Arabidopsis thaliana: one gene and its partner. The protein of the gene in region 2 purifies or fractionates together with the protein of the main gene of each other region. This does not show direct contact. Each region holds a gene or a part of one and is shown on either strand. Other genes may lie near its edges.

Evidence for each region.
Region 1: the proteins of HISN6B (region 2) and AT3G14390 fractionate together in Arabidopsis thaliana (co-fractionation; one large-scale study listed by BioGRID). This does not show direct contact.

Annotation. Positions count from the first base shown.
Region 1 is NC_003074.8:4,805,022-4,810,213, forward strand, and holds AT3G14390 (Pyridoxal-dependent decarboxylase family protein), read left to right. Parts: upstream 1-1,648; 5' UTR 1,649-1,749; coding exon 1,750-2,237; intron 2,238-2,373; coding exon 2,374-2,548; intron 2,549-2,644; coding exon 2,645-2,794; intron 2,795-2,941; coding exon 2,942-3,103; intron 3,104-3,184; coding exon 3,185-3,370; intron 3,371-3,467; coding exon 3,468-3,590; intron 3,591-3,664; coding exon 3,665-3,754; intron 3,755-3,852; coding exon 3,853-3,933; 3' UTR 3,934-4,412; downstream 4,413-5,192. UniProt on the Arabidopsis thaliana protein: Specifically catalyzes the decarboxylation of meso-diaminopimelate (meso-DAP) to L-lysine.
Region 2 is NC_003070.9:27,065,160-27,069,918, reverse strand, and holds HISN6B (HISTIDINE BIOSYNTHESIS 6B), read right to left. Parts: upstream 2,884-4,759; 5' UTR 2,851-2,883; exon of another isoform or gene 2,821-2,850; intron 2,797-2,820; exon of another isoform or gene 2,764-2,796; 5' UTR 2,752-2,763; coding exon 2,518-2,751; exon of another isoform or gene 2,414-2,517; coding exon 2,330-2,413; coding exon of another isoform or gene 2,326-2,329; exon of another isoform or gene 2,214-2,325; coding exon 2,059-2,213; intron 1,977-2,058; coding exon 1,879-1,976; intron 1,774-1,878; coding exon 1,665-1,773; intron 1,575-1,664; coding exon 1,417-1,574; intron 1,336-1,416; coding exon 920-1,335; 3' UTR 753-919; downstream 1-752. Other genes in the region: AT1G71910 (uncharacterized protein), read right to left, coding at 4,175-4,696.

The DNA of each region.
Region 1 (5,192 bases), on a different chromosome or scaffold from region 2:
CATACGACAGCGTGCTTAAATAGTGTGCTTTCAGGAGAAAATATATACCAAGTTATTTGCTGAAATTACCACGCAAATCTGAGGTTCGAATGGCAAAATAAAAAACCAATGTCATTTCCTTAATGTATTAAGGTCATTTAAATAAAATTGTACACTTTTTTCACCTGTAAGCGTTCCAAAGTGTAGAATGGATAACTAGAAGGGTCAAAGGTATAATATTAATAAGCGAACTCACTTTTTGCCCAAGTGATTTCACTTCTTACATTTGCTTGATATAGTTACCCAAAAGTGTATATATATTCCCTTATACAATTGTTCTATTTTCTGGATTATAAGGGGAATAAGAAAAAAGAAAAGAGAGAGTATATAATAATACTTTTATAAAGTGATGTTAGATTCTAATTTGTAACGAAAAGTTCAAAGTGAAAGAAAAAACGAAAAAGTTTTTCTGTTTTGTTTTATATCTATAGCCAAGAAAGTTTCTCAGATTTACAAGAAGTTAACTGAGAAAAACAAAAAAAAAACTTATGAAGCATGAAAGACTAATTAACGAGGTGATTAATTTTGAGACAAATTAAACATCGAATTAAAAGTAACATTTGGAGGGTTTATATGTTATATATGTGACATGATAAGTCCGATTCATGACTAATGTATATCTGGAATCTAACATGGAAGAATAGAGAACGAAGCAGAGCCAAGGTCAACTTGCCAGACACGAATCAACAGATTGTGAATGAGACCAAATCAATGGTCATAAACCGGTTGGGTTTAAACCGGCAAGTCATCCTTGGCTCAATTCCATTCGTTATTCCTTCATGCAAGACCCTCTGATACAACCAAAGACTCCCATTACAATATTCTTTCGATCACGAGCTACTTATTTTCAAATGTGTTACCTCTTTCGTGACTCTTGTGTTGTGTGGTAAAGCCTAGTCGAGATGTGTCGGTATATATAGGCATACATATACAAATGCGACAAAATAAGTATATTATATTGTTTAATTTCTATATTCCATTTCTATATGCATGGCTGGGATTTTTGACCAAAACCCTAATTCAAGAATAGAATCCAAAAGATGGGATCAAAGAATATAATCTAATGGGCTGACCACATTTTCCGATTTAATTCGCATAGTTAATATTCTTTCCACTACTTTATGCCGCAGAAATTTGTAATTAAGTAAGACAAAGAAATACAGATATAAGATGGTCGTAGAAACCAGTAGAGGAATTTCATTTTTCGTGGATAAGTGGAATATTAATAAGAGAATGGTCTTTACTCTTTACAGTGGGAAATGGGAATAGTAGCCCATTATAATTTCATCAGATTCTATATATGCATGTTTGTATAAGCTAAAATAAATACGTTTAAGCATTCTTCAAAAAAATTTACAAGTTCTAGAGACTCTCTTAACGTCGGCAATTTATATTCTACTTTACATGACACTTTCAGGAAAAGAAAACTATACTCACTAGCAGATCATTAAATTTTCTTTTTCTTTTTTTGAATGAACCTTAGTTGTGGTTTTTATTTTTGTTAGCTAGAAACTTCAGTGTTTTTTTTCCGCCAATGGTAGTGCTTTGATGATGGTCCGGCCCAATTCATAGAAGGCCTTGAAAATGGGCCAGACCAATTCAGAGACCCAACAAGCTCGACTGTATACACAAAATTCACAAAAACAGCTTTTGAGAAGTTTTCTTCTTCTTCACCTTATTTTCGGGTATCAAAGCCACAAAACCCTGAGAATGGCGGCAGCTACTCAATTTCTCTCCCAACCTTCGTCTCTCAATCCACACCAACTGAAGAACCAAACCTCACAACGCTCCAGAAGCATCCCTGTCTTGTCTCTTAAATCCACATTGAAGCCACTTAAACGCCTCTCCGTGAAAGCCGCCGTCGTTTCTCAAAACTCGTCCAAAACCGTGACGAAGTTCGATCACTGTTTCAAGAAATCATCAGATGGGTTTCTCTATTGTGAAGGAACTAAAGTTGAGGATATCATGGAGTCAGTGGAGAGAAGACCCTTTTACTTATATAGCAAACCTCAGATCACTAGAAACCTCGAGGCTTATAAAGAAGCATTGGAAGGAGTGAGCTCTGTGATTGGTTACGCTATCAAAGCTAATAACAATCTTAAAATTTTGGAGCATTTGAGAAGTTTAGGCTGTGGTGCTGTGCTCGTTAGTGGAAATGAGCTTAGACTTGCTCTTCGTGCTGGTTTCGATCCCACAAAGTAACATTCTTTATTTACCCATTATTGCCCTGTATCTGATTTAGAGAGCTTTAACTTCATCCCTATAACAAAGTGTTTGACTTGTTGATGGAATCAGTATTGATATGAATGGTATGATTTGGTGTAAAATGAATAGGTGCATTTTCAATGGAAATGGCAAGTCTTTGGAAGATTTAGTTCTAGCTGCTCAAGAAGGTGTTTTCGTTAATGTCGATAGTGAGTTTGACTTGAATAACATTGTGGAAGCTTCAAGAATTTCTGGTAAGCAGGTCAATGTACTGCTGCGTATCAATCCTGATGTTGATCCTCAGGTATGGTTAAAATTTACTTTAAACTTTAGCATCATGTCTAACATAATTGGTCTTGGATATTAGTTAGTGAGCTTTTCTGTTTTATACATTTTTCAGGTGCATCCATATGTTGCTACTGGGAACAAGAACTCAAAGTTTGGTATCAGGAACGAGAAGCTTCAATGGTTTCTGGATCAGGTCAAGGCACATCCCAAAGAGCTGAAGCTTGTTGGAGCTCATTGCCATCTAGGCTCTACCATTACTAAGGTAACACTCTGATTATAGTTGCTTAAAGTTGTATTTTGATGTAATCAGATGAATATGGATTGCTCTCTGTTTAGTGTTTGCTTTTGGTCCGTCCTTAGATCTCAACTCTTGAGCTCTACGTATTTGCGTATGTTCTGTTTATTCCAGGTGGATATATTCAGAGATGCGGCAGTTCTCATGATAGAATACATTGACGAGATCCGGCGTCAAGGTTTTGAAGTTAGTTACTTGAACATTGGTGGTGGTTTAGGGATTGATTATTACCATGCCGGCGCTGTCCTTCCCACACCCATGGATCTCATCAACACTGTAAGAACAACATCTCTTTCGTTCATTTGATCTCAAAAGTAGTGGGATGGTAGAATTGTTACAATCCTTGATGTGTTCCAGGTAAGAGAGCTTGTTCTTTCACGAGACCTGAATCTAATAATCGAGCCAGGGAGATCTCTGATTGCAAACACTTGCTGTTTCGTCAACCATGTAACTGGTGTGAAGACGAATGGAACTAAGAACTTCATAGTCATTGATGGAAGTATGGCTGAGCTTATCCGTCCCAGTCTTTATGATGCTTATCAGGTAAAAACAAATATACTTCTCACAACAGCATCTGCAGATTTTGGTCCCCTTTGAGCTATAGCTAAACATTCTCTTGTTCATGTTTTTAACTCAAAAGCACATTGAGTTGGTCTCTCCTCCACCGGCTGAAGCAGAGGTTACCAAATTCGACGTAGTGGGTCCTGTCTGTGAATCTGCTGATTTCCTGGGCAAAGACAGAGAGCTTCCCACTCCTCCACAGGTATGATAAGGATATGATTCTGTTTGGAAGCTCAGGTAATGTGGAATCTTATGAGTTTATTGTATTCATTACAGGGAGCTGGTCTGGTGGTTCATGACGCTGGTGCATACTGTATGAGCATGGCTTCCACTTACAATCTCAAGATGCGTCCTCCGGAATACTGGGTACCAACACATTTTCTTGTTCCAGGAGAATCAAGATCCCGAGAGAAATTGTCATGAATTTGAACTTATTTTCTTCAATGTGTTGTTTGTTTTTGCAGGTTGAAGAAGATGGGTCGATCACTAAGATAAGGCATGCTGAGACATTCGATGACCATTTGCGTTTCTTTGAAGGTCTATGAACTCTTAGATTTACTCATCATTGTTGCTTTTTTGATTGAATTGTATGATTATTCGGAATCAGGACCATAATGATATTGCTGTTTTAGATTTTCACATTATGTGCTTTGATTCAAAGTCAATGAAGTGATCATATGAATAAGAAAACGTTCACAAGTCAAGACAGAAAATAAGAGGTGATTCTGATTATAAGAGGAGTCTTTCAAGCCAAAGTCGTCCATTGTCCAAACACATAAACACTCATCTAAGCTTCTTCCCATAGCTATAAGAAGATTCTTTCAAGCTTTTTGTTCACAAGTTTGCTTGCAGAACTAAATGAATCAATAACTACAACTACTATGTCATTAATCAAGAAACTAAAAGAAGATAGTTCATAGTTCACAGGACAAGTAAAGTGAATTTGGTTTATCATGTAGTGACTTACCGCCACAAGTCTAATTTCATCATGGGTTATAAGGAAGATTCCAAAATAAACCTTTTAATGTGTAAATGAGACGGTGGCTGGAAACTTGAAGTAGCAAAATGGTCCCATGCGACGCCGTATTGGCGCGGCCACCTCTCTCCGCCATATAATAGAGGTGGTCCTTTAAGTTTTATTTTCTTTCTGTGGTTTCTATGTTACCGTACGTATCAATTTTTAAAAGCAGCTATACATGGTACGACGTCTAACAACTATGTTACCTGAATTGTCCCATCGGGCCATTTAATATGTGGATGGTTGCATTTTTCTTCTTCTAAGTGACTAGTTTGTACTTGGTAAAGTGTTTACGCTAACATCCATTTGTAAGTTTGATTCAACAAATTAACTTCAACAGTGAAATGAACATGTCTAATTTGGAAAAGTTTGATTTCAAACTGAATATGTTAAAAATTTCTCAGCATAAATAAGATTAATATCCAAATGTTAATTAATTATTTTATTTTCAATTGGATGATCATAAAACTTGCAAAATAATTAATCAGAAAAAGAAGAAGCAAATTTTTTAATTATACTTGAACAATGAAAACCTAAATCCCTGCAATTTGGCTTTTGAATTTAGTAAGAGACGTTAGTGTATGAATGTATGTATATGTCATCTTCACGAATTAATGCTAAAAGTTTGGCAAATCTTTGGTTGGCCAACTCATTTGGCTATGATATGTTGTTACCATTATATATGCATGTTGCTGTCAATTTTTCTCTTTTCCAGAAGTTTAGAAAATCATTATATAGTTATATTACAGGGTACGTATCATATCATACAGCCACATATCAAGAGGA
Region 2 (4,759 bases):
GATGAGAGAAGCAAAAACTTCTAGAGTTTTTGAATGGAACAGAGAGGCTGATGATGGCATGTCGGCCCACACCCCCAAAGTTGTCTCTTTGATCCTCTTGCTTCTCTCATACTTATTCATCTTTCTCTTACATTTATTTTTAGTTTTCTTTTTGTCTTTCTTTTAGGTTCCTTTACAGCTTAATTATTTATAATTAGAAACTTTTTAAAAATTAATTAGCTTTGTACTTATTTAAAGGAATATAGTTTGATACTTTGATGGCTCTTCTTGAACAAGGGCCAAAATTTTGTTTTATTTTACATTATAACTGGTTTAAGGCATTTAGCTATTATATTATATTTATGGAGTGGAGGTAAGAAGACAACATTTTTCTAAGTATTCTAGTTTGTTTTTTTTATTTATTAAAGCAGTAAGTGCTTAACCTGCACTATGCATGAGCAAAAGTCTAAAAATGATATAAAAATATTTTGTAATAGATTTGAGATGTTTTGTTTCTCACTTTGAATGAAAAAAAACAAACTTTTACTAAAAAAATTGTTGTCGGTTTATGTATAAGAAATTAAAGTTGAAAATTGAACCAAGATAAACCTACGTTATGGATTATAGGAACCAACCATTGTCTTCACTTCATCTTTCTCAACATACTGTATGTTTTTGATTTGAGTCCGACCCGAATTAGTCAAGTTTCAGTTTTAATGGGCTTCATCAACAAGTTTACATATGGACTTAGGCCCATTTTCAAACCAAAAAGTACAATACAACAAAAGCTTCTCCTTGTTAACTGAAACAAAAACAATGAATCCTTTTTTTTTTGGTCAAACACTGAATCCAACAAGTGAAAACAAACAAAAAAGGAGGAAAAAAAAATCAGTTTTTTTTTTGTGTCGCTGTTTTAAGAATTCCCAAACAAATGGGGAAGTCAATAAAATTGCTTAAGACACTCCATGAGAACATCAGTATGTTCAGGCTTTCCAGCAGAAACTCGAACATAACCTTTAAGCTCTTGACTGTTGTAATGACGAACCATCACACCCATTTTCGCCAAATCCTCTTTCAGCTTCTTTGCATCCATTCCAGATGTAACCTCACAGAGAATGAAATTCGAATAGCTCGGATATGGATTCAAGAAAGGAACTTCTTTTAATAGCCCGAACAGTCTCTCTCTTTCCCGTACCAAGGCGTCTCTCACATCTTCTAAGTATTTCCCGTTTGAGAGTGCTGCTAAAGCAGCTACTTCCCCTGCAACAGAGACATTGTATGGTTGCTTTGCTCTCCACAGGTATTCGATTATACTCAACGGAAACGCTCCATATCCAACTCGAAGCCCGGCTAAACCTGAAATATCATCAGAATTCTTAGATGCAGACTTTATATCTGTAATGTTTAGATTATATAGAGTGATAAACCAAAATTTACCAGCTCGTTTGCTAAATGTGCGGAGAACGATAAGGTTTTCATACTTCTTCACCCATTTCATGCGTGATTCAACTCCTGAGAATTCGATGTAAGCTTCATCTAGAACAACAAGTATTGGCATTTCTAGAATCTTCAACAGATCGTCCTCGCTGATGATACTGTATCAAAGAGAAACTCGGATTAATAATCATGACGGACTACTAAAAAGAATTTTTCCTTTCGAGTTGTTTAGAGTGGTGGTGTTTTACCTCCCATCTGGATTGTTGGGAGAAGTTAGGAATATGCATTTGGGTTTTTCTAGTTCTACAACTTCAGCGATGCGGTCTACATTCAAGCTGAAATCGGGGTTTCTTGGAACTGTGAAACAAACAAAGACCAACATGTTTAAGACTATACATTCAGAGAGAGAGAGAGAAGCAAAATCGAAGAGAATGAAACACATGAAAATCGTAAATCTTTCACCTTTAATGACACCTGCTCCATTCACAGCCGCATCAAACACATACATTGAGAAAGTTGGAGGACAATCTATAATCTTCTCCCCAGGATCTAACACGCATCTGCAAGAAACAGAGTTTTAGTCAGAAAATACGATTCTGGTAGAAGCTCAATTGACTGAAAAATCAAATCTTGAAGCCATACCTCATGATCAAATCAATAAGTTCGTCAGCACCACAGCCTACAAGTATGTATTCAGACTCCAAACCAGAGTCTTGAGCCAGTGCATCACGAAGTCTACGACTTTGTGGATCAGGATAAACGTAAGGGAATTTCATATTGCCTAATGCTTCAAAAACCTACACAGAGCTTCTGAAACCTGAAGTTAGAGAGGACAACTAACTAACTAACAAAATTATCCTTTTTCCAGTCATCAACATATCTATGAATGAGTGAAAGAAAGATATAGACTTGCCTCTGGAGGAGGACCATATGGGTTCTCATTAGCATCTAACTTGACAATATCCTCAGGCTTTCTTCCTAATTGAGCAGACAATACCTAATTACAAACAAACATACACATTTTAGAAGATAAATCCAATCCAACCCAATCCAATCATCTATAATTGTCAAAAAATAAATTCAATGCAATCTAAATATCACCTCAAAGGGTAAAATTGGCTGATAAGCAGCCAATTGTCTCAAATGTGGACGGATAAAAGAGTCTCCCATAGTTATATTCTTGGATTCGTCTACAGCTGCACTTGAAGACTGAGCACAATAAACCCTATTCCGGATTGAGCAAAAGGGTTTCTTCAAAGCTCGAGACTTTCGAAGATTTGACTCTGAAGAATGAATAGAGAACGATGGAGAGCCCTGAACATTGATCACACCCATCAGTTTTCGTGTCTGCGCATATCAAAGGTGGAATCAGTTCAATCTAGAGGAAACATCTGATGCACATACTCAATTTCACATCTTATTGACAAGTAATACCTGAAAGTTGTCAGGAAGAGGGGCAAATGGAGATAACCCTTAGTAGACGAGAAGGGTCGTGGGCAGAGAGACTAAAGTGACTGAGATCAGTCAAAAGCTTCGATTTTTCTATGACCCACTTGCGATTCGTGGACAAAGGTGAGGTTTTTTTTTTTTCCGAGTGACTGAGAATTGGCGTACCAATTTAGGGGTTATCCGAAATTGAATCCAAAACCCGGTTCTGACGAATCGGGTCTATAGTGAGAGTAGGTAAGAAAGTCTTCCAAGTAGTGTTAAATAAAAAAGTCTACTCTATCTTTTTCATATGAAGGTCACCTAATTTTTCTCCCAATGATTCCGGAGATACCTAAATCAGTTTTGATGCTTGAATATGATTCATGGCTATCTTTTCTGTCGACATTAATGGTGGTCTTCATATATATAAAAGGTATTACAATGTTTTTATGTAGTTCGATAATTGGACCAGACTTTTGACATTGAAATGTTTCTCATTTCACATGTTACTATAGAATCATAGTTTTAGTAAATTGATAATTTAAACATGTTTGTTTTAAACCAAGAAGTAGTTGGTCACGTTAGTATAAAGAGAAGAACAAACTACTGTACAATTTTTTTTCCCATGAGGATTAAAATTCATTCTAATTTTCGGTTCGAGGGATTATAGACTAAAGTTTAGAATCTTCGATTTATTAAAAAGGAAAAAGAAAAAACATGTTTTCTTCGAAATAACTTTTAGGGAGAAAACAAAACTCTACTATTGTGAACTTAAAGAGAAAACAAATTGGAGAAATATTTTAGGGAGGTCGGTTCGTGGCATGAACCAAGTGACTAGTGAGTAAGTGTACAAGACTACAAACATTTTGACATTTTTAGAAAACCTTTTTGATTCAGACTAAAGTTGTATTTCATAAAGACTCATTTTAAAATAAAGACCCCCAAAAGTTTTAGATGTTACAAATCTTTTTTATCACACATTTAAAAAGTGATATCATATACAAGTGGAATGTTTCAAATACAAATCTTTTTTACCTTCCTTTATTATTGCACCCTAATATTCTGACCTCTTTCATTTTTCATCTTATAAATTCATACATATTCAAACCAAACCCCACGGAACAGGCAAATGAATCAAGACGAAGAACCAAAAAAGACTTCAGATGTGTTATTAAAAATTTAGGACCCTAAAATTAATTTTTGTGAACCACCCAAACTAAACTACAAATAAATCATTTTCAGACAATTCCAATTTTCTCCACAAAAGCCCCGTAAGTTCTGAATTCCACAAAATAACCCCCCAATTCACAATTATCACGGTGGAGATCAATCACCGTGGATGAGTTTTCACCGGCGACCTCTGAGACGAACTTCGCAACACAATAAGCTTCTTCAAAACCCTCATCAACACCAAAACGTTCAGATTCGTCTTCTTCTTTGTCTTCTTCGATAACTTCATCCCACACCCCACGGCCACGGCAGAGCTCTCATCGGGAAACAAAGCCGTTTTCTTCTCTCCACCGTCGCCGCCATGTACAATTCTCAAACTCTGACTTCTTGGAGGCAATTCTTCGTTGAGATCTTCCCATAACATATCCATTTTCTCCTCTTCTTTGTCGTCGATCCAACGACTTCTCATCTCCACGTACGAGAAGCTCTTCCTCTGATCATGATCACCGTCTTTTCCAATGACTAATCTTGCCAAACCAAAGTCGTAATCTTTCCGGCGAAAGGAAGTAACCGGTGAGTGTTTCCACAAAGGAGGTGAATCAAGACCGGAATGGTGAGAAGAATCATGAGAAGCTAGCGATGGGAAGGTAAATTCTTCAGAGGAGACACTATTCAGAGCCATTTTTTCTGAGATCAAGAAACCAAAAAATAAAAATACTTAAAAAGAAAAAGAAGAAGAAGAAGA